Linked DNA regions of Saccharomyces cerevisiae S288C. The protein of the gene in region 3 binds, or shares a complex with, the protein of the main gene of each other region. Each region holds a gene or a part of one and is shown on either strand. Other genes may lie near its edges. The genes, in order: EMC6, EMC5, EMC2 and EMC4. A codon is read from its position in the direction of its gene.

What was found.
Region 1: EMC2 (region 3) and EMC6 share a complex: the UniProt entries of both Saccharomyces cerevisiae proteins name them as parts of the ER membrane protein complex.
Region 2: the proteins of EMC2 (region 3) and EMC5 are in contact, whole or in part, in a cryo-EM structure (PDB 6WB9), measured with the Saccharomyces cerevisiae proteins. Residues at the interface, in NP_012621.1 of Saccharomyces cerevisiae: Met1 (codon at 5,957), Leu5 (codon at 5,945), Val6 (codon at 5,942), Lys9 (codon at 5,933), Thr12 (codon at 5,924), Ile13 (codon at 5,921), Asn15 (codon at 5,915), Thr16 (codon at 5,912), Lys17 (codon at 5,909), Ala18 (codon at 5,906), Tyr19 (codon at 5,903), Thr20 (codon at 5,900), Gln21 (codon at 5,897), Phe22 (codon at 5,894), Pro24 (codon at 5,888), Glu25 (codon at 5,885), Gln26 (codon at 5,882), Leu27 (codon at 5,879), Leu28 (codon at 5,876), Gln29 (codon at 5,873), Glu33 (codon at 5,861), Val62 (codon at 5,774), Tyr63 (codon at 5,771), Arg64 (codon at 5,768), Asn65 (codon at 5,765), Asp67 (codon at 5,759), Gln97 (codon at 5,669), Ile98 (codon at 5,666), Asp102 (codon at 5,654), Lys131 (codon at 5,567); in NP_012237.1 of Saccharomyces cerevisiae: Glu69 (codon at 2,931), Gln72 (codon at 2,922), Tyr73 (codon at 2,919), Leu74 (codon at 2,916), Pro75 (codon at 2,913), Ile76 (codon at 2,910), Glu77 (codon at 2,907), Asn79 (codon at 2,901), Lys82 (codon at 2,892), Ile83 (codon at 2,889), Leu95 (codon at 2,853), Asn96 (codon at 2,850), Lys97 (codon at 2,847), Thr99 (codon at 2,841), Asn100 (codon at 2,838), Asp102 (codon at 2,832), Asn103 (codon at 2,829), Leu104 (codon at 2,826), Ile105 (codon at 2,823), Gly106 (codon at 2,820), Ser107 (codon at 2,817), Asn108 (codon at 2,814), Pro109 (codon at 2,811), Asn110 (codon at 2,808), Gly111 (codon at 2,805), Glu112 (codon at 2,802), Ile113 (codon at 2,799), Ile114 (codon at 2,796), Phe115 (codon at 2,793), Thr116 (codon at 2,790).
Region 4: the proteins of EMC2 (region 3) and EMC4 are in contact, whole or in part, in a cryo-EM structure (PDB 6WB9), measured with the Saccharomyces cerevisiae proteins. Residues at the interface, in NP_012621.1 of Saccharomyces cerevisiae: Glu146 (codon at 5,522), Leu149 (codon at 5,513), Lys150 (codon at 5,510), Val153 (codon at 5,501), Thr156 (codon at 5,492), Asp157 (codon at 5,489), Trp166 (codon at 5,462), Tyr173 (codon at 5,441), Phe174 (codon at 5,438), Glu175 (codon at 5,435), Met176 (codon at 5,432), Gly177 (codon at 5,429), Gln178 (codon at 5,426), Phe179 (codon at 5,423), Glu180 (codon at 5,420), Lys181 (codon at 5,417), Tyr184 (codon at 5,408), Cys185 (codon at 5,405), Glu205 (codon at 5,345), Tyr208 (codon at 5,336), Tyr209 (codon at 5,333), Leu212 (codon at 5,324), Arg213 (codon at 5,321), Leu241 (codon at 5,237), Lys242 (codon at 5,234), Ala245 (codon at 5,225), Leu246 (codon at 5,222), Ile249 (codon at 5,213), Glu253 (codon at 5,201), Lys280 (codon at 5,120); in NP_011283.1 of Saccharomyces cerevisiae: Gln4 (codon at 6,478), Glu5 (codon at 6,481), Pro6 (codon at 6,484), Tyr7 (codon at 6,487), Trp9 (codon at 6,493), Ala10 (codon at 6,496), Lys11 (codon at 6,499), His12 (codon at 6,502), Leu13 (codon at 6,505), Leu14 (codon at 6,508), Thr16 (codon at 6,514), Tyr18 (codon at 6,520), Ile19 (codon at 6,523), Glu20 (codon at 6,526), Tyr22 (codon at 6,532), Asn23 (codon at 6,535), Ile24 (codon at 6,538), Gln25 (codon at 6,541), Ser27 (codon at 6,547), Thr29 (codon at 6,553), Leu30 (codon at 6,556), Pro31 (codon at 6,559), Ser32 (codon at 6,562), Pro33 (codon at 6,565), Pro34 (codon at 6,568), Gly35 (codon at 6,571), Phe36 (codon at 6,574).

The regions. Positions count from the first base shown.
Region 1 is NC_001144.5:116,314-124,280, reverse strand, and holds EMC6 (Emc6p), read right to left. Parts: upstream 2,960-7,967; coding exon 2,633-2,959; downstream 1-2,632. Other genes in the region: mRNA-binding protein PUF3, read left to right, coding at 1-2,206; ATP-binding cassette bilirubin transporter BPT1, read right to left, coding at 3,170-7,849. UniProt on the Saccharomyces cerevisiae protein: Part of the endoplasmic reticulum membrane protein complex (EMC) that enables the energy-independent insertion into endoplasmic reticulum membranes of newly synthesized membrane proteins.
Region 2 is NC_001141.2:300,970-308,897, forward strand, and holds EMC5 (Emc5p), read right to left. Parts: upstream 3,136-7,928; coding exon 2,710-3,135; downstream 1-2,709. Other genes in the region: EMA17 (Ema17p), read right to left, coding at 1-288; cohesin subunit IRR1, read right to left, coding at 3,508-6,960; ATG45 (Atg45p), read right to left, coding at 7,633-7,928. UniProt on the Saccharomyces cerevisiae protein: Part of the endoplasmic reticulum membrane protein complex (EMC) that enables the energy-independent insertion into endoplasmic reticulum membranes of newly synthesized membrane proteins.
Region 3 is NC_001142.9:581,417-588,986, forward strand, and holds EMC2 (Emc2p), read right to left. Parts: upstream 5,958-7,570; coding exon 5,079-5,957; downstream 1-5,078. Other genes in the region: AIM24 (Aim24p), read right to left, coding at 1-200; EAF6 (Eaf6p), read right to left, coding at 498-839; ACF4 (Acf4p), read right to left, coding at 1,192-2,121; YJR084W (uncharacterized protein), read left to right, coding at 2,317-3,588; TMH11 (Tmh11p), read right to left, coding at 3,704-4,021; STE18 (Ste18p), read left to right, coding at 4,652-4,984; BIR1 (survivin), read left to right, coding at 6,302-7,570. UniProt on the Saccharomyces cerevisiae protein: Part of the endoplasmic reticulum membrane protein complex (EMC) that enables the energy-independent insertion into endoplasmic reticulum membranes of newly synthesized membrane proteins.
Region 4 is NC_001139.9:62,029-70,088, reverse strand, and holds EMC4 (chaperone EMC4), read left to right. Parts: upstream 1-6,468; coding exon 6,469-7,041; downstream 7,042-8,060. Other genes in the region: glucose-induced degradation complex subunit VID30, read right to left, coding at 1-418; SHE10 (She10p), read right to left, coding at 758-2,491; SAP4 (Sap4p), read left to right, coding at 3,130-5,586; YGL230C (uncharacterized protein), read left to right, coding at 5,874-6,317; TAN1 (putative tRNA acetyltransferase), read right to left, coding at 7,087-7,899, 7,958-8,014. UniProt on the Saccharomyces cerevisiae protein: Part of the endoplasmic reticulum membrane protein complex (EMC) that enables the energy-independent insertion into endoplasmic reticulum membranes of newly synthesized membrane proteins.

The DNA.
Region 1 (7,967 bases), on a different chromosome or scaffold from region 3:
GGGCCAGTATTCAGCTTCCATTGCTGGTCCCGTTTACTACAATGGCAATGACAACAACAACTCTGGTGGGGAAGGGTTTTTTGAGAAGTTCGGAAAATCTTTGATTGACGGTACAAGGGAACTGGAATCTCAAGATAGACCCGACGCTGTCAATACTCAGTCCCAATTCATATCAAAAAGCGTCTCTAACGCCAGCTTAGACACACAGAATACTTTCGAGCAAAATGTCGAGTCTGACAAAAACTTCAACAAATTGAATAGGAACACTACTAACAGTGGTTCGCTTTACCACTCCAGTTCAAATTCAGGCTCATCTGCGTCTTTAGAGTCCGAAAATGCTCATTACCCCAAGAGAAATATCTGGAACGTAGCCAACACACCAGTATTTAGACCTAGTAACAATCCAGCCGCTGTTGGGGCCACAAATGTCGCGCTTCCTAACCAACAAGATGGGCCTGCAAATAACAATTTCCCCCCCTACATGAACGGCTTCCCACCCAATCAGTTTCATCAGGGCCCTCATTACCAAAACTTCCCCAACTACTTGATCGGATCTCCTTCAAATTTCATCTCCCAGATGATTTCAGTACAGATTCCAGCAAATGAAGACACCGAAGACTCAAATGGTAAGAAAAAGAAGAAGGCAAACAGACCTTCTTCTGTTTCTTCACCTTCGTCCCCTCCAAACAATTCTCCGTTCCCGTTTGCCTACCCCAACCCAATGATGTTTATGCCACCTCCACCACTCTCTGCTCCCCAGCAACAACAGCAACAGCAACAACAACAACAACAAGAAGACCAACAACAGCAACAGCAACAGGAGAATCCTTATATTTACTACCCTACTCCAAATCCTATACCTGTCAAAATGCCCAAGGACGAAAAAACCTTCAAGAAAAGAAATAACAAGAATCATCCTGCAAATAACTCCAACAACGCCAACAAACAGGCAAATCCTTATCTAGAAAATTCTATACCCACAAAGAATACCTCTAAAAAGAATGCTTCTTCCAAATCTAATGAGTCAACGGCCAACAACCATAAATCTCACTCTCATTCTCATCCTCATTCTCAAAGTCTACAGCAACAGCAGCAAACGTATCATCGATCGCCGTTGTTAGAGCAACTAAGAAACAGTAGTTCTGACAAAAATTCAAACTCGAACATGTCACTAAAAGACATCTTTGGCCATTCCTTAGAGTTTTGCAAAGATCAACATGGTTCACGGTTCATTCAGCGCGAGTTGGCCACCTCACCAGCCTCAGAAAAGGAGGTCATATTCAATGAAATTCGCGATGACGCCATTGAGCTTTCGAACGATGTATTTGGTAATTACGTCATTCAGAAGTTTTTTGAATTTGGTAGCAAAATTCAAAAAAATACTTTGGTTGATCAATTTAAAGGTAACATGAAACAGTTATCTCTACAAATGTACGCATGTCGTGTAATTCAAAAGGCGTTAGAATATATTGATTCCAATCAAAGAATTGAGTTAGTCCTGGAATTATCTGACTCCGTTTTGCAAATGATCAAAGATCAGAACGGTAATCACGTAATTCAAAAGGCCATCGAAACAATTCCTATCGAAAAATTACCTTTTATCTTAAGTTCTTTAACTGGCCACATTTACCATCTATCTACCCACTCCTACGGCTGTAGGGTCATTCAAAGATTGTTAGAATTTGGTTCGAGCGAAGATCAGGAAAGCATTTTAAACGAATTGAAAGATTTCATACCATATCTAATTCAAGACCAATATGGTAACTATGTCATTCAATATGTTTTGCAACAAGATCAGTTCACCAATAAGGAAATGGTCGATATCAAACAGGAAATCATAGAAACTGTGGCCAATAATGTTGTCGAATACTCTAAACATAAATTTGCCTCCAACGTGGTCGAAAAATCTATTCTTTATGGCTCTAAAAATCAGAAGGATTTAATAATTTCTAAGATTTTACCAAGAGACAAAAATCATGCTTTGAATCTGGAAGACGATTCTCCAATGATTTTAATGATCAAGGATCAATTTGCCAACTATGTGATTCAAAAATTAGTTAATGTCTCTGAGGGTGAGGGTAAGAAATTGATCGTCATTGCCATTAGAGCATATTTGGATAAACTAAACAAATCTAACTCCCTAGGAAATAGACATTTAGCCAGTGTTGAGAAACTTGCAGCATTGGTTGAAAATGCGGAGGTGTGATTAGTGTTATCATCGTTCTCCTTTCACTTTTTACTATTTTTTTTTTTTTTTTTTTTTTTTTTTTTTCCTCCATTTGTCTTTCACTTACTCTATTTTATTTTGTTTTATTTTGATATCTACTCTTGTCCATAACATTTATGTTCCCCTATATTCATTATTTGCTTTTTTCCATTACCTACTTTTTGTACCTCATCTCTATTTTTCTGCAAAAATCTTTGCGCTCTTACGCTCTTCTTATTTCTGCAACAGATAGAGAATTTAACATTGTGTATTTGAAATCATTTGACTGAGAATACTGTTGTCATGTCTTTTTACATAGAAGGAACTAAAAAAATTTAAAAAAAAAAAACACAAATAACATTATATTTACTGTACATAATAAATCAAGCCTGTTTCTAACCGTTTATAGAAGTAGTTCTTATATGTTCATCCGATTAGGGCGTATCCAAATGTCCATGCCATGACAAAACCAGTTATCTCTCTAAAAAACGATTCGAAAAAAATGTCATGAAGTGGGCTTTGGTAGAACTTTCCTGGTTGAAGTTGACAGATCCAAACAATGTAAATGACATTAATCAAGTTGTACAGAATCAGGAACCAAATAAACCCATGGACTGACTCGATTTGCAAAAATCCTGCAACAAGCCCTAGAACAAGTGCTGAGCTATCTTGCACGAAAAGTAAACGCTTCTTATTATCAACCACATTCGCAGTTGCGTTTATCTGAGTAAATACCTCTTCATTTGAGCTCATTTCTATCTGTCTGCCGCTGTCTTTCTCGAACACTGCTTGAGCAATCCAACATAAGGTTAAAATTAAGTTGTATTTAGTTATATCTCTACTAGCTTCATTTGTGATTACCCGGGTTACTAGAAAGCATATAGAAAGAAAAAGAATTGGCGTGACCGTACATATTGCAGCGCATTAAATGTTCTATATCTTCATATATAATAATCAATGTCATTATTTCAAATACCCACCTTTCTCACAAAGACTGTAAAAAATAGACGTTTTATCGGATAACAATTTCGAGGGTGAATCGAATTCCCTCACACTACCCTGGTCAAGAACAATTATCTTATCACTGTCCAATACAGTGTCGATACGATGTGCAATTGTTAAGATGGTACGGTCCTTAAATTCTCTTCTTATAGTGTCTTGGATAATTTTATCGGTTTCCATATCCACAGAAGCCGTTGCTTCATCAAGGACCAATATTTTGGAACGGTTTAGCAGCGCTCTTGCCAAACATAGTAGTTGTCTTTGCCCCACTGACAAGTTACTACCGTTCTCATTAATCTTGACATCCAGAATATCATTAACATTGCCATCCTCTTCATTAGAATCATCACCTCTTGGTTTACTGTGCAGCATTTTTTCCAGATGAGGCTTTAAATGTGCCTGCTCAACAGCCCTTTTAAGTTCATCTTCTGAATAACGATTGAAAGGGTCCAAATTGGTCTTTACTGTACCTTCAAAAGCTTGTGCATCCTGAGGAATAATTGCCAAATGGCTTCTTAAATCGAACAGACCTATGTCGGATATATCAATGCCGTCAATAATAATTTTACCTTCGGTAGGTTCTAGTATTCTAAATAATGCCAGGCTCAGTGTAGACTTCCCTGCACCTGTTCTGCCAACAATCCCAACCTTTTCACATGGCTCAATCTTCACGTTAATATTATTCAGCACTGGATCCAAATTTTCTCTGTATTTTGTGGAATAGTTTTTGAATTCAATACCACCCTTTGATGGCCAATTTTCATCTGGCCTCTTTTCAGGGTTAATGGACTGTGCTTCAGGTGGTAATTCGCAGTACTCAACAATTCTCTCCACTGATACAATGTTGGTTTCAATCGTCACAGTTGTCCTTACAATCCAAGTCAATGAACCTGTAACCTCTAATGAATAGCTCATTAGTAGACCAACCATACCCGAACTTAGTTGCCTTTTAGTATTCATTGTTGCTAGTGCTAAGATTGCAGTAGCCAAAACAATTGTAGCACCAATAGTTTGCAATCTCACGGATAACCATCTATTCGTTGATCTAAAGTTGAAGACAAAATCAACGTTGTATTGGATTTTTTCATAATTTAGATAGATGAATCTCTCAAAATGATCGTATGCATCAATAATAGAATAACCGTTCAAGCTCTCACTCATTAAGGACATAATCGGAGAGTAAGATATACTGATCAATCTTTTTAGCTCCCTAGATAGCACAATGTAAAATGTTTGATAGTAAATATAGATAACCACCAAAAACATATTGAACACTAAAAACCATGGCATATTGTACCCGACTAATATAACAGTAACCAAATAGGTTAGTATTGATTTGAAAAAAAAGGAGAAAATGTACTGTAGATTACTGTCCACTGCATCCATATCAGATGAGAACCTGTTTATGATCCTTCCAACTGGTGTAGTCTCAAAGAAAGTCATAGGACTTCTAATTACAGATTTGGCCATGCTTTCATGCAGTTTCTTAGAACCCCTAATAGAACAATACAGTAGCATCATAATACTCCGTAAATTATTGAATGCGGCCGATGCTACTCCGATTAAGGAATACACACCAACAAACATCCAAACCCTTTCATTTGAACCATTTTTTTCATTAGATTCTGACCAGTACTTTAACCAAAAATTCTCTGCTAAGTCGAAAACCCTTGTTAATATCATAAACAAGAAAAATAAAACAACACCTAAAACTCCACAAGCCTTAATATACGCAAGATAAATCTTTGTTTTGACTCTTCCCACCTCTGTCTTCTCGGCCTTTTGCGCCGTTTTCTTCACGGAATCCAATTGTGCTCCCACAAAGGGTCTAGGTCTTAGCGTAGCTAGAGAAGCTCTTCTAGAATTGGCTTTGATTAGTTCTAATTCACTCTCAGTAACAACCTCATCCTCAGTTTCTGATTCAGTTACTTTAAGCTGCAGAGGTTCATCCACTTCACTTTCGGATCGGTGTTCAGTTTGGACATCGCTTTCATTTCCATTATCAATCGGAGAATCAAATTCCTCTAGTAATTTTTTCAGTTTTGAAGTATTGTTCTTACGGTTCATTACATCCTCATAATTCCCTTGTTCAACAATTTCACCGTTTTCTAGCGCATATATCATCTGCGAATGTTTTAAAATTGATACAGTATTGGTAGTTAAAATAATTGTTTTATTTTTTAATAAAGCCGTCTTTCCGATCAAAACATATTCAATAATATTTTTACTAACTTCTGCATCAACAGCAGATAAAATGTCATCCAACAAATAAATATCTGCTCTCGAGTACACCGCTCTGGCTAATGAAAGACGGGCCTTCTGACCGCCTGATAGGGAAATGCCCTTTTCACCTACCAAAGTTTCATCACCATCTGGTAGTATTTTCAAATCGGGTAGCAATTGACATGCTTTAATAGTGAGGTCATAATAATCTTGGTCGAACTTGTGACCAAATAGAATGTTTTCTCTTACAGATGCGTTCATTATCCAGGATTCTTGTGAACAGTAGGCTACAGACGATGATCTAATGATCAGTTTAGGTGGTATCGAGTCCCTAGAACCACTCATGCAAGGAAGTTGACCAAGAATTGCCTTCAAAAATGTTGATTTACCAGCTCCTACCCGACCAACAACACAAACTAAATCACCCCTTTTTGCTTCAAAATGATCGATATTCTTCAACGCAATTTGAGAAGATCCGATAATAGACTCTTCATCTGTCCTCAAATTATCTCCAGATTGGCTAGATGTTAATACTTCTTTTGATTTCCATAAAAATGTAATATTATTCATCTCTATAGCAGGTAACGCTCTTTCATCCGCTGAAGGATCAATACGTTCGATGAACGAATCATCAATTTCGTCACTAAGTAGGAATGACTTTAATCTTTCCATAGAAACGCTTGTCTCTATAATGGTATTTATCATGGATGGAACGGAATAGATGGCACTGTTCAAAATATTAAATAAAGATAATGAAGGGAAGACAATGGCAGGAGATAACGGAGAATCACTAAATAAAGAAAATAAGCCAAATGTGGAACATGTCACCATTAAAGGTACACAATTCCACGCAAAATATATCAGATTGCTCACTATACCAATTTTCCGAAAATTTTTCAACTCCATATCATTACGAACATGATTCAATCTTGCCATCATAGGTTCCTCCCAGGCGTATAATTTAATAGATTTTATAGCATTCAAAAGCTCTGTAATAGTCTTGATTCTCATGTCCTTATACTTCATTTGAGTTTTTGATAGCTTTTTTACCTTTCTAGATAAGAAGGCATTGATAGGCATCATAATAGCCATAGTAACCAACCCTCCAATAACAGCCTTTCCTAGCAACCAGTACAGGGAAGTTAATACAACAATAATCTGAATAGGAGCGCCAATAATGGTTTGGGCATTTTCGAAAAACCGCTGGATCCTTAACACATCCACAGACATCAAATTTAAGATGTCACCAGTAGATTTTTCGTTACGCTCTGCTAGCGTCAATCTTAAGGACTTCTGATACACTAAAGAAGCTAAAGAGCCTCTTATCCCCAAACCAGCCTCAAAAATTCCAATATAAAATTGATTGGTGAGGAACACAGAAACCACGCTGATTACGAAAAGGGTTAGAGCAATAAATACACCATTTAAAGGAGGATATTTAGAAGATGTTTCCGGGTTCAAACCATCTATGAATATCCGTAGAAACTGGGGCTGTACTACAGAAAGTAAATCAGATGTCGTTTCATACAGCATAGCCACAGAAATAGTCCTACCAAATGACTTCCAAATGGCCCTCCAAAGAGAATTTCTATTCAACCATTTTTCCAATTCCCAGTTAGCCTTAAATTCCTTACTTATCGACTTAATATTCAGATCTACTGGCGGCAATGGTAACTGGTTAGGATCTTTGATTTTCTTGTTACGGTAAGTTTCCACAATCAGTTTGTTCATCCAGATAAATGTAATATAGGATAGTACATGAACGGGGGGATACCACCCATTTTTCTTGTAGTATTCAGATAATTCGTTAATTGGCTCAAAAATGCATAGATCATAAATAAAAATTGCCACAGAATTGAAAAGAAGGAGCACTTCTAAAATCATAGCAGTTTGTCCGCTAATAACAGTAAGCCTTTCGTTACTAGAACCATGATAGTACCTCTGCAATATCAAGAAGAGCTGTAGAAGAATTTGAAACATGTAATAGAAAAGCTGGTTGCCCATTGAAAATGTACTTTTAAAATAAGCTAAGTATTGAGTAGGGAGAGAAATACCCAAATTGAAAAGGAGATTCAAGTACAGAGCCTTCTTTAGTATAAATGGATAAACCCTATCGCTAGATTGGGATACCAAGGCCAGTTCACAAATTATAAGCGTGGACTGAAAGCAAACATTGGTCAAATGCGTTAGATGTCGACTGTTGATTTTACTTGGTAATGTAGGAAAGTTCTTAAATCTGGGTGGTACTTTATTGTTCTTATAAAGTTTCCACAATTGATAGCTACCAATCAATAGGAAAAAGACGGCTTGCCAGGCGGATATTACTGATATAAAACATGGATTTAATGCATTTGTGCCACTATCTGGATATGGTCGGTATCCATAGGGGCACCCATCTACCACTTCTAGTGAAGACATTGTCTTTATATTAATCTTTTTTAGACAAAATTTTCTTTATGATCTCTTTAAAATTAACCACTGCTAATATATGTTCAGAAGAGACCTTGGTATAGAAAAGTATGCGAGGACAATCTGT
Region 2 (7,928 bases), on a different chromosome or scaffold from region 3:
AAGGTATAATAGGAAAAAATGCATCCAATTTTTACAGTTGAACCACTTGGGGGATTTTATTCTCGTATTGTAGCGGGAGCATTTTATCTTCGTACATCTTGGAAGCTGTAGATTAATCTTATTCCTATATGCTCCTTCAATCCACACAGCAAACCCCCAAATGGAAACGATCACTGAGTATGTTATAAACCAGCTTACGCTTATACTATTATCAAAATTCAAAAGATTGAACGGGGAAAATGGTAGAAATGAATATTGAAGCATTTTCGCAATGAAAATTAACCGCATTGTTTTTATAGTAATTCTGATGGCTAACGGCGGTAATACAGCATCCTTACGAAGAGCGGGAATAGTTCATTTGCCCTCTTTGATGGTTTGCATAACTGCGTTGTTGATTGTCTTAGGAATGGAAATATTTAACAAATATACCTATAATGAAAAAAGGGTCCTTCTTTTTAATTATTATTGGCAGCGAAAAAGTTGTCCCAGCTTCTACTTTTTTTCCCGTTAAAAAAGGAAGCGGCGGAAGCTGATCTACTCTCTAATAATAGACTACTCACTCGCATCTTGGTAACGAGTCCCTTTAAGATCTTGGTACATAAAGTTTGCTGCAGCAAAAAGGGCTTATTTGCGCATTCATGATATTAAACAACACCCTGTTTAGCGTGTTAATGATCCTTGTTTTATGCCAGTATATTCTGTATACCTTATAATAGAGTCAACAGTTAAATCCTAATCATTACCTCAGGACTTACCTATTTCTGAATATCATGGTCCACCATTCTACCTCAGTGAATTGATTGAACCGCACCATTGGAATTGTCATGGTGAGCCAGCGTGCTACAACTTCATGATTTTACGAGCTGAAAAAACACGCCCTTAGGCATAAAAACTCAATGGAAATCTGTAAAACAAAATAAATTTCGCTTTTTAACTTGGCCTAATGGGAATACTTTAACAATTGAACCTGTCACTAAATCAGAGGAAGTACATGCCTAATTACTCAAAGCTGTATTTAACTAATTTACCTATACTATCGCCAGGCATTCAAGGATGAAGACATGCGTCAATGCAAATAGTGACGGCTGCTGCATTAAAGAGGTGCTGCGTGGTGTAGAAAAGGCAATAACATGGACGATGCAAGGTTATTCAGACGCGTTGTTTGTATGCCATTTCCAATGATAATGTTGGTTGCGTTATATAGAAATGTGTTAGGAAGAGATTCTACAGTTGATTGCAGCTTTGACGTTATACTTACACCTTGGATAATGGCCAGTATGTTTTCCAAACGTATGGTGAATTGGTCTAATCCACGTCAAGCTGTTTTAAAAGTATGCAGCGCAGCCGTGACCTCCCGGATAGTTGCCAATTGGTTGTTTACGATGAACATATTATATACCAGTGGTGAAAAGGGTTTTTACTCGCTAGCAACAGCTGTGGTAATTAAAACGGTCACTGATGGGTTTACGGTGATACGGGTTTTCTCTATTCACCTGAACGAGTCAGTATATAGCAAGCCATTACCATAACATTGGGTAACGTCGCACGCAACACAGCTGCGGGTGTGTGTGGTGATTGGTTAGTCAATTGGTCATTTGGGCTGGTAATAGGGCATGTTCCCCTTACAGCTTGTACTGTCTCATTGGGGTTTGCTCTTATTGCTGGAATAATAAATGGAAAGGTTAACGACGACACAAATGGTTTTCGACGACCAAAACAAATTAGCAAATGGCAACCTTTTGTATTAGGGCTAATTAATGTAAGCGATGTTACCATTTTGTCTATTTCTGGCGGTGGACTGGTAGCTTCTTCATGTGGAGGTGCAATAGGCTATGCTACTGTCATTAAAACTGTTGCTACCACAAATGCACGTTTCGCGATTACTGAGGTGATCAAGGAAATAGTTATTCGTTATTCATCACAATTAAATGCAGAAAAAGTTTGTGAAGAATAAAAAACTCGAGCCGGGTGGTAAATTGTTTTAGTACGGTTAGCATCGGTTTAGTACCTGTACCAATATGTGTCACTTTTGTTATTTCTGCAGGCGATAATACTTATAATAAACGCATACATGATATCATAACTGCCTTTATACGGCACCTTACAACTAGCATGGGCGTTCAAGTGGTGGAGAACTATTACCTGTTCCTGAAATAACAGAATGAATCATCAATAAGGGCTTGTCTGTACCTCAGGATGATTTGAACAAGTTCCACTTACGCTAACATGAGGATGAATATCGTACTTATACTATGTAAACTGGAATAGAAATATTCCGAACGGTTATCCATTAGAGTGTTAGCCCTCAAACCGAGACTCTCGATAATATTGAATAGAAGATTTTACCACTAAATTTAGTGTGTATTTATGTATCTTAATAACAAACTATCCAACGAAGACGCAAAAGATACTATCCGCCCCGTAATCCTTTTGAAACCACTCAAGCTTATGGTTCACGTTATAGAACACAGGAGACGCTTGCATTATTGGTGATTCTAATATAGCTTTCTATTCCTCTATGAAAGGCGTCTGTGTTGGTGTAAATAGAAGAGGTGCCTGGTCACCTGACGCCTTATTTTGTGCAGTTACGATGTTCGAGTAGATTCGCTATCGAATTTATGCTCAAAATCTAGCTAATCCTCTTATTAGATCTTGATATGTATATATGTATGAAATTATAAGTTCTAGCTCTAGTTTTCAGTATCTTATTTATTTTTCTTTTTTTACAGTGTTAGAGGCCCATTCCCTGCAAATTTTTCTCTTCATATGAACGTCAACAAAGCTTGGAGTAAATATGATCTCACCATTAGGGTTACTTCCTATCAAGTTATCCACGTTGGTGGCTTTATTTAATGCGATTTCTTTTAGATAGTTTCCTTGGGATATTATCTTCCCATCGTTACTCTCAATTGGTAAATATTGTAATTTCTCGAACGAAGTGAACACTGCAAGAACAAAGAGTATCAATCCTGCATACGTTTCATACATGATATCTTTAGGTAACTTGCTGATTGCACCTTGTGCATTATTAAGCGAGTTAAGTTTTAATAAGTGATGAAACTCATAGCTTGAGAAACCAGAATGAAATAACACCAATGCAGAGACTGTATAGAGAAGCTTGGAAACAAACGACATCTCTTGATAATTGCTTTTTTGTATCTCGGTAGGGCTTAATTACGATCGCTTTTTAGATGCTACAATTAACATGCATAACAACTATCTGAGTTGACTTTATTTTATATTCAAAAGTAGATTTTTCTGCGCTGCGTTTACATCGCGAGTTTTCGAAGAAGCAAAGGGCGCTTTGATGACGATTGAATGGGCTTGGAAAATACATAGCCGAATATCATCCAGCGAGTATAGTCTAATGCGAAGGGATATTTGAAGTATTTATGATTAATCAAAAACTGCTAACGAAGCTATGTATGTTCAAAAGAAAGATGTGATATATATTATAGATCTTATTGTTTTACAAAAGAGCAATAAGTCTGACGTATATCTTTTCCCTTAATCTTGTGTGATTTCGTCGCTGTTGTCTATAGCATCTACCACGGTTGGGTGTTCCTCAATTGGTGCTAACTCTGAATTATTTTGCGAACTTTCTTCAATAGGTTCTAGATCGATTGTCATGGGAATATCTGGATCATTATTTTCAGTATTTGCATGGTCGGTTTCTCGTTCACTGTTGGGTTGTAAAGGCGCTTTTTCCCTCTGTGTTTGATTTGATTTTGCTTTCTGTATGTTCTTTTTATTAGGTTCTGGATTTTCCATTATGGTATCATCTACGATTTTTTTGAACAGCGGGCCAAGCTTTTCTTTGTTTAGTGCCACACGGGAAGCAAATCGTTCATCTAAAATATTCAGTTTCATTAGTCCCTTCAATTTAACTGTGAATAAAAGGAATTCAGTTTCAATATTCTCGAAAAACCCGGTTTCCGGCAAATCATTTAGGTTGGCGTCTTCATCTGCTACCCTTTCTAATTGGACGTCAACTTGCTTAGCGAAAAGACTCTCCAAATATAAAAATATTTTCAAAAGCACTTTGGAAGCATTATCGTGAAGGTAAAATGGAAATTGTTCACTCATACTATATCTCCATGTTGTAGCGTCTGCAGGCAATTTGAGCTCAAATATTTTTATTGCAACGATTATATCCATTAATGAAGTGCAAGCTGACCATTTTAAGTAAAACAAGCTGTTTATGTTTTCAAATGTTTCGTTTGTAGCCGCCAATGAAATAACGAGTGTGTTTAGACGACCTATTATAGCGGCAATTGGTTTCCAAACTGATCTAAGATCTTTTGAAATAGAATTCTCGTAATCCCTTACTTTCTCTATTATTTCTCTCCATTTTTCCAGATTCCATGTGGCTAATAACACTAGCATTTTAAAGTTTATTTCTTGAGCGGTACTATCATCAAAATCTTGAAACATTATAGGGATACGGGAAACAAAATTGTTCAAAAACAGTTGCAACAACTCTTCATCAACCTCGATTGGGTAATCCCTGCCAAGAATTGTCAGTTTATTGATGTAGAGCTCGTACAAAGAACAAGTTAAATCTTTGTAGTCGTCCCTAGAATTATTTGGATCCATTTTTTCCTGTAGAAATTTTTTTAAATGAATTTTCAATGTAGCTATCTGGTTTAAAAATTTTTCCTGCAGTTCCTTTTTTTCAAAATGATGGATATGGTGAATGAATTTAGCAAATATATCGTACTTCATGTCAACTTTTGAATTCCCGATTGTAGAATCCATAAATGCTTTAATAGTTTTGTCGGTAATTTTTTTTAATTCAGTTTCATATCCAATAGATATCCAATCATCCAGAGAAAATGTGATAAAGCTCTCTAGGAGAGGACACAGAATATCAGCAGATTCGATGGATGCGGCATTCAACAAATCGTAGAATAAAGGCAAAACTATTTCCTTAACGCTGTCCTTAGTTTGGATTTTGGGGTTGTTGGCACCTGCACACAGACCGTGGAATACGTTCAGATATAAAATAGTGCTATTTCTGTCAATGGGAAACAATGGAGTGATGTCCAATTCCTCATCGTCAACATCCTCGTCATCGCTGTTATTATTGGCCGAGTTTTGTAACTTTTGGATCAGTTCATTTGATTCAGTGTCAGAGATCAGCAGATTGCAAATAGTTTTCAAGTGAGTGGAAATGTAAGGAGACAAAAACTCTGCTGCTTGTGTTAGCATACGGATCTTTGTCCTTGAATCAACTTCAGCGCAATCCTTCAAGTGATAAATTAAAGAGTCATTCAGAATCTTGATAAATATACCGACTTGAACAACGGGTCCAACTTCTAACCCGTCGACTTCTTTGGGCAAGTCTTCATGCGTCTTGATGAATTCGTCAAATTTCTCTTTTATTACTCTTGCTAAGAATTTGGCCACCGTGGATAGAAATTTGGATCTTTTATTGAATGAGGATGTTTTAAATGGGTCGAACTCTTCATCGAACATTAAACTAGAAATGATAAGAATCTCAGAATCATCTAAATAGCCCAATGATGACGCCTCCGTTAGAACTTGGATACTATGGATCCTTACATCAAGATTAACGTCACGGATTGCCACTTCCAGGATCTTAGTTTTGAAGCGTTCAAATACTTGGCGTATAGCGGAATTATCAGTGGATTTACTGTTATGATTTTGGATTATTAAATGCGGTAAAATCTTCGTAACTTGTAATCTGACTGATACAGAGTTATCGCTCAGCAGCCAGCCAAAATATTTTAAAAATGTAACCTTGAGGAAATATTCGGGATAGTTTTTAATCCAGATGGATAGATGCAACATGGATTCTGAACGAATCAAATCAGACACGTCCTTATACCTATGCACAAAACATAGTTTGACGATGTTATCGATAATGCTATCAATAACGACTTTGCTGCCTTGAGTTTCGGCGATAGTGCTCTCTAGCTTTTCTAAAGTCTTGTTATTGGGCCTTTTTTTCTTCTCTTCTAGTGATAACTGCTTGGATAACTTCGCCAAATAATTCTTTTCTAAATTAACAGCCTGTTGGGTCAAATAGTCCTGGAAAAGATATAGCGTTAGCGTAGAAATGTATCTGAAGCATCTGATTTTGCAAACTGAAAAAGAAGACAGCCAAGTCAACAAATCCAACACAAGATTACCAGTAACTATTTGGGTATCATCTTCGTCCGATTCCACGTATAGTAATTGTAAGTCATTTGCCACTTCCAACAATTTAGTCATGAATTCCGCGAAATTTTGATAAAGGGGACCCATTTTAAAGTTTTTTCTCTTTTTGTTTTCCTTGCTAATCAAGAGGTAAAATTCGTGCAGTTTCTGTCTTTGAAATAGCAACTGAATTTCACCAATCGTTTCGTTAGAAGATTCATTGCTGTGAACGTCGTGGTCTTCGACGCGAGCGACGGAGCCACAACAATTCAATAGCAAATTGATAAATTCTTGTAAAAATTTATCTCTATTTTCAGAATAGGTTTCTAACCATTCTCGCAATAGTTCTTCAATAGAAACATCTTCTGAAGTGGATAATATATCAAACAATTCTGTAGGTTGGAAATCCTTCGCAATTTCTAAGTATTGATCCTGATCTTTTTTAGAGCGGTGATAAGCAGGCGCATGAGATACCGCCGACTTCTGGGCAGAAGTAGGTTTTTTCTTCTGCCTTTTACTACTGGTATTTGATGCTGATTTGGGCTTTCTCTTTCTAGACTTTCTCTTTGCCGTAGCGGTATCTACGTAGTCATCATCATCCTGGTCTTCATAGTCATCCTCACTACTACTTTCTTCACTTTCACCAGTATCTTGCTCTTCTTCTTCTTCATGTTGCGTTTTGGCAGTGATCTTATCAGATTCTACGTGTTGTGCGCTGGTGTTTTGCTCGTCATCGTAATCTTCCTCAATAACTTGAGATTTAGTCCTTATTCTAGTTGAGCGACGCACAGCAGTCATGTTACCTTCGTCCGAGCTCTTGTTCTCAGGTCAATCGCCTTTCTTTATTATTTTTGTTTACTTGAAGCTTTGTTCTCTTTAATCAATATAGAGGAAAGGAAACAAAAGAATCATCTTATCTTACGCGTCACGCGTCGCGTTGCCGTCAGAGATGAGAGTAATAGAATAAGTTCTAGGCAGGATAAGTACGAGCTTTACTTCATGCTGTGCTGGATAAAGCACAACTATCTAACTTGTGTGCTAATCGTCTAGCTGACCTTAATTTACTCTCCTATCGGTAGCAGGCTGCTTTTTTTTTCGTTACGAAACTTTGCTTTGATGAGGATAGACAATAAATGCTTAAAAACAGAGCTTCGTAGGATGAGTCGATTAGACGTTTAGTTGCTTGCAATGTACCAATACGCAAACCCCTTCCTTTTCCTTTTTTAAATTGATCTTCCTCTTTTACATAAGCAGTAATAATGCCAGATCTTTTGCCGTTGTCTGTTGGAGCCTGTGTACCTCGGCGGCTAACAGCGATGATTATTCCACGAAATGAGATGCTCACCTTGTGATATAAGTGAAAAGGAATAAATCTATTAAAAATATGTATATCTAAACCATAGCTAGATAGAAAAGAGAAAATTGAAATATATATATTTGTCATAAAAGAAACATGTTTGAAAAAGTTGTCTATTTGTTCCAGTACGTCTTGACTTTCTTGGCAATGCACATTAGCCCATTTAGAGACTCTTTCCTGCTATTGAACGCCTGATGGAAATCACACTGGATGGTTGCATCCATGTTTTCGTCCTCCATATCAGAATTCCAGCACACTATCTCCTCTGTGCTGCTTAGGTCACTATGTGACGACAAGTTGACATAATCATTTAAAGAGTCGTCTTCCGGTTTCCCTTTTGCGGTGTTGGACCGTGTATGTGGTGATAGAGGTATATCCATGAGTTGACTGGCCTCATTGTCCTTAAAGT
Region 3 (7,570 bases):
ATATCTGGTTGAACAGTGATAGATGCAATTTTACCATTTTCGTCTACTAGCCTGAAACGGGAAGTCGCAATATCCTTGCTTAAGTTCTCGATATATGTCCTTTCTTTAGTTACGACATTACTCTCCGTCTTGGCCGCTTGTGGGCTCAAAAGAGAAATTGATCTCTGCCAAACTCGAGTATTCACCCTTGGGCTTATCATGATGGGTGGATATCCTTTTCTGTGCTTCTGTTTTGTTTATCTGTATCCGTTTATTCGCCAGCCAATAAAATGACTGGGAGCACGGGACCTTTGAAATTTTGCCCTTGTTAGTAAATCGTTATAAAAATACTTATATAGATATTTTATAGAAAATGAAAAATAAAAGAAATAGCCAATATGTAGGTATATCGAACTTAAAGGTCACCTGTCGAAATCATTTCCTTCTTCTCTCTTTTTCTTTTCAATCAGATGTTTTAGAGCGGTCAAGCAACGTAAATACCAACGTGTGCTATCGCATTAGTCGTTTTGTGATTGGCCATGCTGCTGCTTCACGTACGTAGCACTACTTAATGAAAAAATACGATCATTGTTATTGAATGCAGAATCTGCATGGCTGTGGTGTGACTTGGAGAAGGTATCAAACCCTTTTATGATGTTACCAGAATAGTGTGATTTTGACCCATGGGCTCCCCCATGACCTGAATGGTTGTTATTACTATTGTGTGAGAAATACTCGGTCTCTTTATCATATATCTCTTGTTGTAAGTTGTCAAAGGTATCTTCTTGCTCTCTTCTATCTTGGAGGGACTTTTTTAGTTCCGCTTTCAATGCTTCATAACTTTTCAGCTCATCAGTCATTTTCTTCTAGGCGTAGGTTGGTAACAAACGGAAAGATGATGGAAAATGGCTGTTCTCTAAAGATGTTTATCTTACGTATATTCTTTGCTTTCGTTGTGGCTTTACACACCTTTAATCATTAATTTAATGGCATAGTCGGCAAGTTGTTGAAGGACCTGGGTTAATCGCCTACATGTGAGGTTTTTTTAAAAATATCAATTACATTTAAAAAAGGAAAGCAGTAGTACCAAAAATCGGGCAAAAAAAATTTACCTAAATAAAGGAATGCATAAATGAAGCCGTTTAATCTTTGTATTTAATGAGAATATTACATATGAAGGTCTCTTGAGAAAGCATCAATAGTGGACATTAGCTACCTTTTAAATAAATGAACGGGTATGTCACCCATGGGTTCAAACTCTTCATCATCCTCGTCTTCACTGCGTACTTCATCGTATTCGTAACCCAAATTTTCTTTTATGTAATAGTGATCTTTCTTACTTTTCCTCTTTTCCAAAAGGTCATCGAATTCGTCCTCTTCCATATTCATTTGATTGAATTTGTTAAGTATTCTTTGTAAGAATGGTGTGTTCTCCCCAGCAGTTGCCGTGGTATTAGCATTCTTCATAGTATTCCTTGGGGGTAGCAAGGGAGGACCCGATGTTGGAGTTGATTCTGAACTACGGCTTGGAGCAATATTTTGCATACGTTGTGACCGATTAGGCGGAGGGTTCGGTTTACGATTGGGTAGAGTGTTATTTATGTTGCTATTAACATTATTATTGGGCTTACTAAAAAAATCGTTTATACTCTTTTTTCCCTTGAGCATATTTGGTGAATTATTTACGTCCACAAATGTCTGTTGAATTCTTTTGGTAAAAGTAGAGAGGTATTCACTTGGGTTCTGGTTACCTAATTTCTGTTGTCCATTTCGGGGCAGTGTATCTTTGAACTGTAACTCTAATTGTTTTAATTCTTTTTGGGCGACCTCTAATTTGAAACTAAGTTCATTGATTTCTCTGTGTTTTGCAGCTAATTTATATATTAAATCTTGGTCTGTTGAAATCGGACTTGCGTGGTCGCTCACGGGTGACTGATTTGTCGTAGATCTTTGCGGACTTGATATAGGTATAGCAAGTCTTTTGGGCTTTAAAGGTGTCGTAACCCTTGGTGATTTTGATTCAGGCTGCACTTCATGTTGTTTTTGATGCGGCTGTTGCTGCTGTCCTTGGGAGTGTTTATCGACAATCGACAGCTTATGTAATTCAATTGGTTGACTAATTACACGCTGGTCTTCTGACATTACTTTAGGGCGTATGTATGGATGTATTTTGTATTGCTTTTGGCTAGTTAGTAGTATTCCTCAATCGTATTGTTTTTGATTTTGAAAAAGCTAACGATAAAGGTCAGGAAAAAAAAAGAAAATTGTATGTAAAGGAATGTCTGGAGAGAGTTACACAGGAACAGAAAGGTCCAGCAACGGTTTCTACAACCAATCATGGATGTTGATATAGGATGTTATTTTGAAGAGAAACGCTATGACGACAAACTGTTAGACTTCATCAGATATGACGTTAAAACACCTAAAAAGACTAAATATATACTACAAAGGCCTACGGCGACAGATGAAGAGAGTGTACGATTACAAAGGTTTTACCAATTAGGAGTAGATCTAAAATTGAAGTATTCCAAGCGGAGGTCATTGAAGAAGCAAGGGCGGATCAAGAATGCTACTGAGGAATTGCTGCGATTAGCCAATGAACAGTTGAAACTTTTCAACAGAATAGTAGAAAGAGAAACCAATTGGATAATTTATCCGCTGTGGGTAATGGCTAAACAATTAATTCGTCTGGCAAACGAATCTAGTGAACTTAATAAAGACTCAATTGAGGAATGTGGACGCACTATCCATAGAAGCTTTACTATATGCCTCAATGATAGGAACCCAAGATTGAATGAAAATAAAAAAATCGGGTGTTATATGTTTGCTAATCTAGAGTTTTCCATCTACCATCGGTTAAGTAATAAAGATATGATTAAAAATTTAGTGAAAGTCCTCGAGAGCAGAGTGAACGCCCGGGATATACCACCGTTGAATAAAAGCCTGGCAATGGAACATAAGTCTCAAGTGGTGTTGTATAATTATTATCTAGGTCAATACTACGGATGTCTGGAAAACGATCACGAACGCGGGTTCTTCCATTTAAATGAAGCATTATTGCAATGTCCAATGCTATATGTGGAATCTACCGGCAAGTTCGTCTTACAGGGCCAAATGGAAAAGATAATGATACTGCTGGTTCCGCTTGCTCTTTTAACTAAAAGGTTGTACCCTCACTGGGATCATCCAGTAATCGCCGGAGTAATTACTAGGAGTAAGCGCTTAAGTCAAGTTTATCCGACATTAGTGCGTAGCGTAATCTCAGGGAACCTGTCACTGTACGAGGCTACCGCAGCAAGCCATGAAAGATTTTTCCTTTCGCAAGGATTGCATGTCGTCATCACATTACTTCGAGAGGTGGTCTTCACTCGGTTGGTACAACGATGTTGGCAATGGGGGAATGATCGGAAAAGTATCATGCCCTTGAAAATTCTTCTGGCAACAAAACAACACGATAGTTCTGCCAATGAGGACGAAGAGGAGCAGTTGGATGCCCTAGAATGCCGTCTAGCAAGTGCTATAGCAAGTGGGCTTTTGCGTGCTTATCTTTCTCACTCCAACCGCTGCATCGTTTTCAGTAAGAAGGAGCCCTTTCCCCATAGCAAATGATAGAAAAATAGTCAATAATTGAACGAAGAAAAAAAAAAGAAAGTTTGTTCATAAAAGAATATCATATTATATATATATATAGGGTCGTATATATATCGTGCGTCTTCTTCCTTCTCTAAGGGTAAAATTCCTTGTATTTGTTATAATAGTAGTAACTGCCGAGCCCACCCAAAGCTGTCAAAACGACAGGGACAGGTTTAGTGAACCTGGAAGGCATGCCTCTTATGACACCAGCACCAAGTAGTAAGGTCGATGCACCCAATGCCATTTCGAGCCCACCATCTCTATTCATATGTAGCAAGTAACCGGCAATCCCATATACACTACCGAATACTAAGCCAGATACTAGAGATGGAATGGAGCCCTTACGGTAGTATCCCATAAGGCCACCGGCTGTAGTCAAAAGACTCAATGTATATGCTGGATGTTCCATAGTGTGATCTGATGTTCCTTTCTCTCAAACTTCGTTTCTGTCTTGTCTCCCGCTGTTACCTAATAACTTCATGTGATCTGCTCCCCCTTCTCGTTAAATACCACCTTTTCATCAACCCCGTAGGGCGCGACACGTCTAAAATATTAACCTCTGAATACTTATTGGGTCAAAATGAATGTTGATAACTTTCCTTTACAAAAAAAAAACTAATAGAGTATATGCATTTCGGTAGTGAAATATTCGTTAATGCTAATATGCTCAGTAGTGATCCTAGATTACCAGTTTTACTGCAGCCATCGTACAATTTTGGAACGAGTATAAAGAGAGAAATTAAAAACGACAAGAAATATTCGTACTAGCTTCTCTTCCGGCTTGATGACAGTCTTAATATCATCTGCAACTCTTGAAATCTTGCTTTATAGTCAAAATTTACGTACGCTTTTCACTATATAATATGATTTGTCAATGTGATGAGTGAATGTCTCCCTGTTACCCGGTTTTCATGTTGATTTTTGTTTCAGGCTCTAAATGTTTGATGCAATATTTAACAAGGAGAACAGAAATGTTTTGTGACAGCACCTGTCAATTTTAGGATAGTAGCAATCGCAAACGTTCTCAATAATTCTAAGAATGACATCAGTTCAAAACTCTCCACGCTTACAACAACCTCAGGAACAGCAACAGCAACAGCAACAGCTTTCCTTAAAGATAAAACAATTGAAGTTAAAAAGAATCAACGAACTTAACAATAAACTGAGGAAAGAACTCAGCCGTGAAAGAATTACTGCTTCAAATGCATGTCTTACAATAATAAACTATACCTCGAATACAAAAGATTATACATTACCAGAACTATGGGGCTACCCCGTAGCAGGATCAAATCATTTTATAGAGGGTTTGAAAAATGCTCAAAAAAATAGCCAAATGTCAAACTCAAATAGTGTTTGTTGTACGCTTATGTAATGATAGTAATAGAATCCAAAAAAAAAAAAAATATACATGCTTTTTCATATCCTCTCTCACCCTATCTTTTTTTTTCTTCTAATTTTGGCTCCGTTCATATCTTATTCAAAATTAATTCAGCGGTAATCTTATCTTTATTGTTAGACTTCGCAGAAATTTCCTTTAGCTTCGATGCAGATAGTTTGATCAAGTCATTTTGTTTATTACGTCCCAGTTCGCGAGAAATGATGTTAACCAATGCCCACCCTTTTAGGTATAGTTCGCTAAGTTCAACGCTCCTCAAAGCATTCTTTAATGCCTTTTCCAAGAGCTCGGTCTTGGTTTGTTTCTTGCTACGTAGAGCCTCATAATACAGAGTCTCACTTAGCCTACCAAAACAAGCGTAATTGAATGGTGTAATACATAGGACCTGTTCCAAACAATAACAGGCTTTTTCAAATTGGCCCATTTCGAAATAAATCTCGCTGGCATACCACCACAATTCTGCATCAAGCGGGAATTTATCTGTAAGAGCTACCACTTCTTTAAGAACACTTTCTTGGCTCAAGTTCTTGGAAGTTGTCTTGATAGCTATCAATTTCTTTGCAATAGAGACATAAGTAACGAAGTCCGTTTCATACTCCAGATCATCATTCAACAAATTTTCCAGATATTCAATAGCGCCTTTATCATTTCCGTTTATCTGCAATAAAGTGGCTTTCATGATTACCATTTTATACGAATTTTCACCAAGACGATCTCTTAATGTATTATAAACAACTTGCGCATCAACGTCTTGGTTTCGGTACACCAAAACATAGAAAAGCATTTCCATCAAGAAGAAATAGTTTCCTTCTGTTAGTGCAGAGTCTCCGCTTTTCATGTAAATTTTCATTTCATTTTCTAGTTGCAGTAATTGTTCTGGATTAAATTGAGTATACGCTTTGGTATTCATAATTGTCAAAAGCTTTTCTCTAACCAAATCCTTCAACATTGTTTTATCTACTGCTTTCTATAATTTTCTCCGTTCCAATGCGATCCAATGCCTTTCATTCATACATAGTTATTTATTTCATTAACGATCCAAATCTCTTTACTTAACTTCACTAGTCAACGCTTCTAACACATCACGCGATACGAAGATTAACAGTTTAGTATAATATTGCAATACATACCCATTTCACACATCGGTCAAGGTCATCAAGCACTTTTAGTTATAGTGTGTCCTATAGTTCTTTCAGATTGATTGAGGTTTCATATTAGTGTTGAAAGCCTAGCTAAAGTTCTCTGGGCGTGCAACATTCGAGGACACATCGGTTGTTTATACCTCATGGGATTATGGATGGTCAAATAGATAAAATGGAGAAGCGATATAGCATGACCAAACTGGAGAATAGGTTAAGGACTTTCCAAGATGGTGTTGCACTTGAAAAAAAAAAGTTAAAGTGGAGTTTTAAAGTTATTCCGTATCAGGCAATGGCCAAGCTTGGATTTTACTTTGATCCAGTGATCGATCCTAAGACATCTAAACTGAAAAAAGACTCTGTAAGATGTTGCTATTGTCATCGTCAAACATACAATGTGAGAGACTGCAGATCCAAAAGAAAAGATGTTCTTGAGACTCTAAGCAATATAATGAGGCAACATCTGACTGTTACTGATAACAAACAAGTTTGCCTCCTTATTTACTTGCGCAATAAGCTATTGACGGACTATAGCTTCCATATGGGGGTTTCGGACTGGAAAAATGACAAGTACTTCAGCAATCCAGATGATGAAAACGTGATAAACCTAAGAAAATTTACTTTTCAAGATAACTGGCCTCACAGTGGTTCTCAAAATGAACATCCGCTGGGTATAGAAAAGATGGTGAATGCAGGACTCATGCGATACGACTCCAGCATAGAAGGCTTAGGCGATCCAAGCATGGATAAAACACTTATGAACGATACCTGTTATTGTATTTATTGCAAACAGTTGTTACAAGGTTGGTCAATAAATGACGATCCGATGAGCCGACATTATAAGGTTTCTCAAAATGGGAACTGTTATTTCTTTCAGACACGTAATCGATTTGAGAGAATAAAAAATGACAATGACAGTATCACGAAAAATTGCGAAGTCTCTCCAACTTTAGGCGAAAATGGGAAAAGAGAAGTGATCAACACGAAAACCGCTTCTCAAAGGCAGTGTCCTTTATTTGAGTCACCTCCATCTAGTACTGGTCCTCAACTTGACGATTATAATGAGAAGACAGATATATCTGTTATTCAACATAATATAAGTGTGCTTGATGGAGCACAAGGCGAAAATGTAAAACGTAATAGTGTGGAAGAAAAAGAACAAATCAACATGGAAAATGGAAGCACTACATTAGAAGAGGGCAATATAAATCGTGATGTTTTAGCAGATAAGAAAGAAGTTATTTCGACACCAACTGCAAAAGAAATCAAACGTCCAAATGTCCAGCTAACCCAATCATCGTCACCTATAAAAAAGAAAAGAAAGTTTAAGAGAATATCGCCTAGAAAAATCTTTGATGAGGAAGATAGCGAACACTCCCTTAATAATAATTCTGCCAACGGAGACAACAAAGATAAGGATTTG
Region 4 (8,060 bases), on a different chromosome or scaffold from region 3:
CCTGAGCATTTTTCCTCATGTCTGAGGAAGCTTTCATAACTCGCACTGAATTTTTATTTGAATCTTTAACACCAAATCTCAAAGTAAAATCATTAACGTCTGGATAGAAATATTTATAGACTTGAATCAGGTAATCGTCGTTGACAGCTTCAAACGAAATTGTGCCTAGAACACCCAAATTCATCAATTTAGACCAGATTTCTTTCCTTGTTAAAGCAGTTAACTTTGTCCTGCCCATTCCAACGCCAGTGGGATTTTCATCAGCGTTGATTAAGTTAGTGTTCTTCAGTTTGTGAAAGAGTTTTCTATGTTGCAAATATAAAATCCATAAATCATAAGCCACAGGCTGTTGCAGCAAGTAGCTCGGGAACAAACAGTTAATGAATTCGCGGTCTACGTCATCCATATATTCAGACATTTCCTCTTAATTATGCTGAAATTCGACGCTTGGCTTTAACGTACTACTAATATTTCTGCTATAACAGTAACAGTTCTGGTCCAATCCTTTGGCTCTTTCTTTTGGTTGATCGATTCATCAGTTCCCTCCCCTGAAAGGCTCGCGCGTCCTGTAATCTAGCAAAAATAGGCAGGATACAAAATACAGTGGAGTGGTAATATTATATTCTTATATGGCTATATATGTTTATATATAAAGGTAAAGACAAACAATAAAGAACATACATATATATATAGATAGATATTGTGTGTGTGTGTGTGTGTGTGTGTGTGTGTGTGTATAGCAAGCGCATGAATTTCATCACAATGTCATGGTAATGGTTGTGGTGATGGTCGAAGTAGAGGTGTAGGATACGTCTTCTTCGTCTTCTTCTTCCTGTTGTCGTAATAGCTCCTGCTGCCTTTGGAACTCTTCTGCTGCAGCTTTTTCACGCTCTTTTCTTTCACGTTCCTTTCTTTCACGTTCCTGAAATTGCAGGTTGGCTTTCGATCTTAGAATATACAAAAACTCACCACTCTCTTGAGTGAACGATAATATCTTCTTTTGCACTTTTTGCCTAAACGCGTTAACACGGGATAAGTCAGCGGAATGGTGAGCCAGCTTGTCTCTAGATTCTATGATCTGTTTCTTGCCCTTCAAAAACTTCTTCCAGTTAACAGAAGACTTTGCTTTCTCTTCATCAAGCGTAGTGTCATCATCTGCACCCATGTGAGCGTTGATAACATCCACATAAGCCATTCTTTTGGACCATTCATTTACAATGATATCACCCCATTCTTCAAATACCTCGACGTTTTCCTCTCTAATTGCATTAACTTTTTTTTCAATTTCATCAGTGATTTCGCTCAAATCTTTCTCCATAGCATTTGTCAGTTCGTCTAACGTCGAGCGCGTCTCGTTGAAGTACTCACGAACTAACTCTCTCGTTATGTACTGAGAAATCTCAGTACTTCCAGATTTATCGAAGAAAATTTTCTTGCCAGTTTCACTATCAATGCCTTCCACACATTCAATATCGTTAATGGCTAGCGAAATCTTGGAGAAGAACTTCTTAGATTTATCATCTAAAGATTGAAACTTGGCTTTAAAATGGTTGGCCTCCTCAACCAATTTACCATTGATGTATTTGGAAACATCCTTTTCAAATAGCTGTATGACGTCTTGTGTTTTCTGCAATATAGTCTCACTCCACATGTCAAAATCCTCTTGCAACAGAGCCTGTTCATTGACATTGACGTCTGTGGAGCCTTCAACGTCTGTGGAAGCCTCATCGTCGTGCGCATGATTAGCAACAGCGCTAGCCTCTTCCTGGTCCAAAGTAATTGTTTCAACCACTGTTTGAGTACTTGTTGTAGTTAGCTCCTCTTCGTCAGACTCCATAGTACTTACGGTTAAAACCATGTCCTCCGAGGAAGGCTCACGTGTGACAGAACCATGAATGCCATGCGTGTCCTTATTCTTGAACTTTCCCATTAATTTTTCCTCTGTATTACCAACAATAAAGTCGTATTTGGATTTGATGCATCTTGAAGTGATAGTAAAGTAATAATGGCCTATATTTTTATACTTTAAAATTCTTTCCTTCAAATGAGAGCGAAACTCCGCAGTAAAGAATTTGTCTAAGTTAGGTTTCACAAAAGCATTGTATTTTGCGAAGAAAAATCGTCTAGTCTTGACCATTGGGGAGCGGACCAATTGGTAATACTTTCCACAGTTCCATTTCTTACATTGTGAATGGATGACCTTGAATGCAGGCTGTATAGCGACCTTGTTCACTTTTACTGTAGCGTCATCGATGACAGGTTTGACAGCCGTGTCATATTTACGCGCCACTATATCGAAACCGGGACTAACTTTATTTTTGTATAATTCACAATTTCTTGAAAAGTAGGTGTTCCAGACTCTTGGATTGGTATAATGGCAAAGCGTTTGCGTGCGTTCACACGATATGCTCCCACTATTGAATTCGCAACAGTACTGAAGCAACGATACCAACACCGTCAGAGTTGTGATTAACTTTATCAGCTTTCCCATTTCGTTACGCTGCGTTCTTGTTTAGATGTAACAGCTTTTGTGCATCCAAGATATAAAGTACTTCAGAAATGGTGGTTGAAACAGAATGCCCATTACGCTTACTTTAAGGCTGTTCTTCAAGTTGATCCTTTCTTTGATACATGATTATCATCATGTACGTAGAAATCCGCCTTATTTCCGAAACCTGACTATCTTAGGGTTATACATAGAAACGTATAGGACATTTCTTACTTTTGAAAATTGTTCCTTGGGCAGTTCAGGGTTTAGTTAGGGTATTGATGCCAGCCCTAAATCCCCTAAATAAGAACTCTCGAGGATAATAACAGACAATAAACCAAGAGTTCATCCACGTATGATGGCTGTTTTTTATTCTGTCGGTTTTTGGTTGCCGTAGTAAATATAATTTGGTAAGCGTGTTGTGCTGTGTTGTGTTGTGTTGTGTTGTGTTGTGTTCTACTAATTGGATTGTGCGAATAAGTGAAACGGTTGCTTCACCCAGCGGGAAAAGGACAACCTGGTATTTGGTGTGAGATAAAGTTATAGACAATCTGGTCTTTTGTTATTAAGTTCTCTTTTCTTCTATACCGTCCAGTTTACTGCTCTCTTGCTTTTCGATAAAGCTAAAATAAAATAAAAATATGTCACTATGGCCCTTTGGAGAGACGCTGAGTCATTCCGGAATTGATTCGATACTTGAAGAGTACTATCTAATTTTTCGTAGTTTGGAGGGAAATGAGACCTCTTCAACTGACGACAAGAAGAATGAGCCTTCTATGGAGTCAGAGTCCGAATTTGGTACCGAGTCTCGGGATAGGAGTGACCTTAACCAGTCATTTATTGATAGGATCTTGTTGGAAACAGCTTTGCTGGATGAACTGAATGGAGCAGCCAACGACAGACTCGTCGACTTCATTTGCTTGGGATATTTCTATGACGACCGTTCCCAGCAGGTCCGCCACATGGACTACCTAGTGGACATGTTGATGGCTTACCTGAAGGACATAGACCGCACTGGTTATAGAACCCCATTTCTTTTAGAGAATTCATTCCATCAAACAGGTGAATATGAAGATCAGGACGATGAAGACCCAATGCTGTATGTCAACATTATTTCCAGTATTTTTTGTTCGAAAAGTGCGCCCATAGTGGAGGCACTCGTGCAAAATACCCCATTTTTGTCCTCTCTGTTCGAGGTTTTCCAGTTTGAAAATATTGAGGCAGAAAATTGTCCTATCTTGGCTGTTTTCCTTAAGATTAACGAAACTCTTCTGTTTGAACAGACATCTAGCTATTTGGAATTTTTCAAATCGCAACCGAACATTGTGGACAAGTTCTTATATCATATTGAAGTCTCACCCTTGGTTGAATTTCTCATTAAAATCATGCTGACTGATCAAGTTGAATCACCTACGAACATTATTGACTTCTTGTATCACCAGGATCTGATACCTAAGTGTTTGAATCTCTTGGAAAATAGCAAATACTCACCTGGTATTCAAAACAGTAGCGGAGAGCTTCTAAAAGCACTGATCAGCATTTCCACCAATTTTAAACTGGATACTTTGTGGATCGGACCTAACCGATTGACAAGACAGCTTGCCTCTCCGCAATATGTCGACCAACTTATTAATATAATCTTATTTCAAAGAGGCCATGCAATGGGAGTTGCCGTATCTATTATAATTGAGTTGATCAGGAAGAATAATTCCGACTATGACGAAGTAGATTTGTTAAGTACCACCATAGTAGACAATCCGCCTTCTCAAAGAGATCCAGTCTATTTGGGCCATTTGTTATATGAGCTCACTATGCATATGGAAGATTTTTATGCATTACTAATTAAACTTGAAAATGATGATGACGATGATCATGACACTGCTTCAAAAGCTCTTCCATCTGTTAAGCATCACCTACTAGAAAACCAATTGCATGAATCATTCAGGCCTTTGGGCTTTGAAAGAGTCAAGATTACAGAATTGATATCGGAAATGTTACACTGTTCAAATATGGGATTGATGAATTCAAAAAGAGGCGAAAAAATAGCACGTACCAGAGATAAATGCAGGGACACTCTTGATCAAAACTCACTAGAGAAAGCCATGAAAAATTTAAATATAAATGATAATACTATTACTTCCAATACATTAGAAGATAAATGTAATAATAATGATAGTAATGACAGTAATGACAACCAAAAACAAAAAAAAAATATTAAAAAAAAGTTTCATGATAATGAATTGTATTCTACTTTTGATACATCTGATGACAATATTGATGATGATGATGATATGAGTTTTGAAATTCCTTACGTCAGTGAAACGCAAAATTTGAAAATACGTAAAAACCCTACCATTGGAGATTTATTCAAAATTAAACTTCATGACCTTGGGTTTTTTCCAAAGTTTCTACAATTATTCTTAAGATATCCTTGGAATAACTTTTGGCACAACATTGTATTTGATATTATTCAGCAGATATTCAATGGTCGAATGGATTTTTCTTATAACTCATTTTTGGTCTATTCTTTGTTTGATTTCAAAAAGTCTACAAGATTTATCCCAAAACCTTTGTACGGCAGCAACCAAAAGTTACCTGTTAAAGACTTCCATATTATCTCTGATTTCATTTTACAAGGCCACAAGGATTCGTTTGAATTTTACGAAAAAGAGAAAACAAATTTAGGTTATATGGGTCAATTAGTATTAATTGCCGAAGAAATTGCGAAGTATTCCAAAATTTATAAGACCGATCTAATTGCTCCAGATATATATGCCTTCTTACAAGATGAAGTTTGGATGTCATATTCTAGTGACATCTTGAACGAAACAAGGACAATGTGTTCAATAATTCTTGGTGGAGGCCAGTTCTGTGCCGAAAGCGATGAAAATACTAACCAGGACTTTTTGGAAAAAGCTGATATGAGTAAACCAGCTCATCCATCCACAATGGATGAGAATGAAATTGTTCACGAGGAGGATGTTAAGTTGCATGATAAAGTTGCCGAGCTCATAGATGAATTGGGTCAATTAACCGAATTAGATATTCATGATAAAATTAAAGATGTTATTGTTGATCATCATTCCGACTTAAATTGATTAGGTTAAGTCGTCAAACCAATTTTGACTTTTTTTTTCCTACATTTTTAATATTTTGTTTCTCGTTTTGCCTTATTTAATTTTGTGACATGTAAAAATTACGAAGCCTATTGGGGGCCAATTGAAGTAAACTAAATATAACAATAGTCCTTTGTAGTTCAGGAATGTTCACCAACTATTCACCAAAAATTATTGTCTAGCTTACTTTCAATAACTTATAGCTATCTATACAAAAATAATCATATAACTAAAGTCAGGCCCAAACCAGGCAAAACAAAACCATAATAATGGGAATTATTACACTATCCGGCAATGTTCTACATTTATTGAAAGCCTACCCAAAAAAGGGCCTTGAAGAGGTTTCTCAACCAGAGCCTAATACAGCAAATGATTCCTCGACTGAATATAAAGGAAAAAGCAAGGATGATTTTCAAATGGTCGAAAAATCCAATACAGATGAGAGATACAATTTTACAAGAACGAAAAAATGGTTTTTATTGATGACCTCAGAATATTACAAACTAATGGAAAACAGACTTTTAATGTTTTGCATTATCGCTTGCTCTTTTATTTGTGCTATCCAATTTCTTTTCTTTATAATTTATTGGACCAACATTGTTCCACGGAAGACGCAAAGGGCAATAACTAACCTAAATTACGATTATTTAACAGCCCATCTAAAAGAGCAATGCGTTCCATATGCGAAAATTCTTGACCAATGTATTCTCTAGCAATCTCTGCTTTTGTACATTCGTAGTTTTTTCATGTTCCTTTCATAAATAATAAAAAAAGCGTATTCTTTTCTATATAAATAGAATGAAAAAAAGTTGAACATAATATCAGTTAAGGTTAAAATAAAGCCAAACGATATAAGCAACAGAAATGAGTGAACAGGAGCCTTACGAATGGGCTAAACACCTATTGGACACCAAGTATATCGAAAAATACAACATTCAGAACTCAAACACATTACCTTCACCACCAGGATTTGAAGGTAATTCCTCTAAAGGAAATGTTACAAGAAAACAACAAGATGCTACATCTCAAACTACTTCTTTGGCACAAAAAAACCAAATAACAGTATTACAAGTACAGAAGGCATGGCAAATTGCGTTACAACCAGCCAAATCTATTCCGATGAATATTTTTATGTCGTATATGTCCGGTACATCCTTACAAATCATTCCTATAATGACTGCCCTCATGCTACTCTCTGGACCCATTAAAGCAATATTTTCAACAAGGAGTGCATTCAAACCAGTGTTGGGTAATAAAGCAACACAAAGTCAAGTGCAAACTGCTATGTTCATGTATATCGTATTCCAAGGCGTCTTAATGTACATTGGATACAGGAAACTAAATTCAATGGGTCTCATTCCTAACGCTAAGGGTGATTGGCTACCCTGGGAACGAATTGCTCATTATAATAATGGATTACAATGGTTTTCCGATTGAGAGCGTATATACTTATATAAAATATCTATTCTGTTTCATATATGATTATTGTTTTACACTCTTATCTTCATCCTTTCGGAATTTCGATTCATAAAGCTGTTGAACGTTGTATTTACGATATTTGGTTTTATAATCCCCATCGACTACACACATTCCGATATTGCTCTTAAAACATTCCACTAGAATCAATTTATCATAGTTCTTCAAGTCCACAGTATGATTAAACTCAGAACCCTCTTTATTGACCAGCTTCACAACTTGATTAATGATGTCCATTCTTTCAATCGTATTGAAATTTCTTCTTGTCACTTCTACAGCAAATTTATAATTTTTTTTAACATTCGAAGGGTCATGAAAGTGTGGCCCAATAACCAAATTGGCCAACTTGATTAATTGCTCCATTTTTGCATTACAAGAGTACGTAATAGGTGTTAATTTCTGAACATATCTAGTACGTTTAACCATATTTTTGGGATCCGCTAAGTCTTTCATGATACTTAGCACAAATTCTTCGGGAACAATTGGCTTTCTTGTTTTACAAAATGTCACGCACTCACAGTTCAAGTCGATGAAGGCTAAGGGGTCTTTCTTCTTTGTCTCCCCTGAAGATAAATCTTTGCCTGTTTCTTCACCTTTCAATTCTTGTAATTCCTTTTTTATCTGGTCTTCAATTGATAGATCTTTCTTTTCGTCATTTTCACTTTCATCTTCTCCTTCTTTGATATCCCCATAGAGTTCTTGAAATTTTTCTTCGAATAAAAGCTGCAACTCTTGGGCTGCTTGACGTTCATGTCTTCTAGAACATGTGGCATATATTCCAGACGTACCAGGGTCTAAGAATCCGGAAGATACTTTAAACTATTACTTTTGATCGTTAGTACTTAAAGAACTCTAATTCGTGTGCAGACAGACATACTTTCTTCCTGTTTTGGGAATTTGCATCCTTACCATTACGGTTACGTTTTTCACCCATAATTAAGATACTTATTTACACTAATTGTATGATACTTTTCAATATA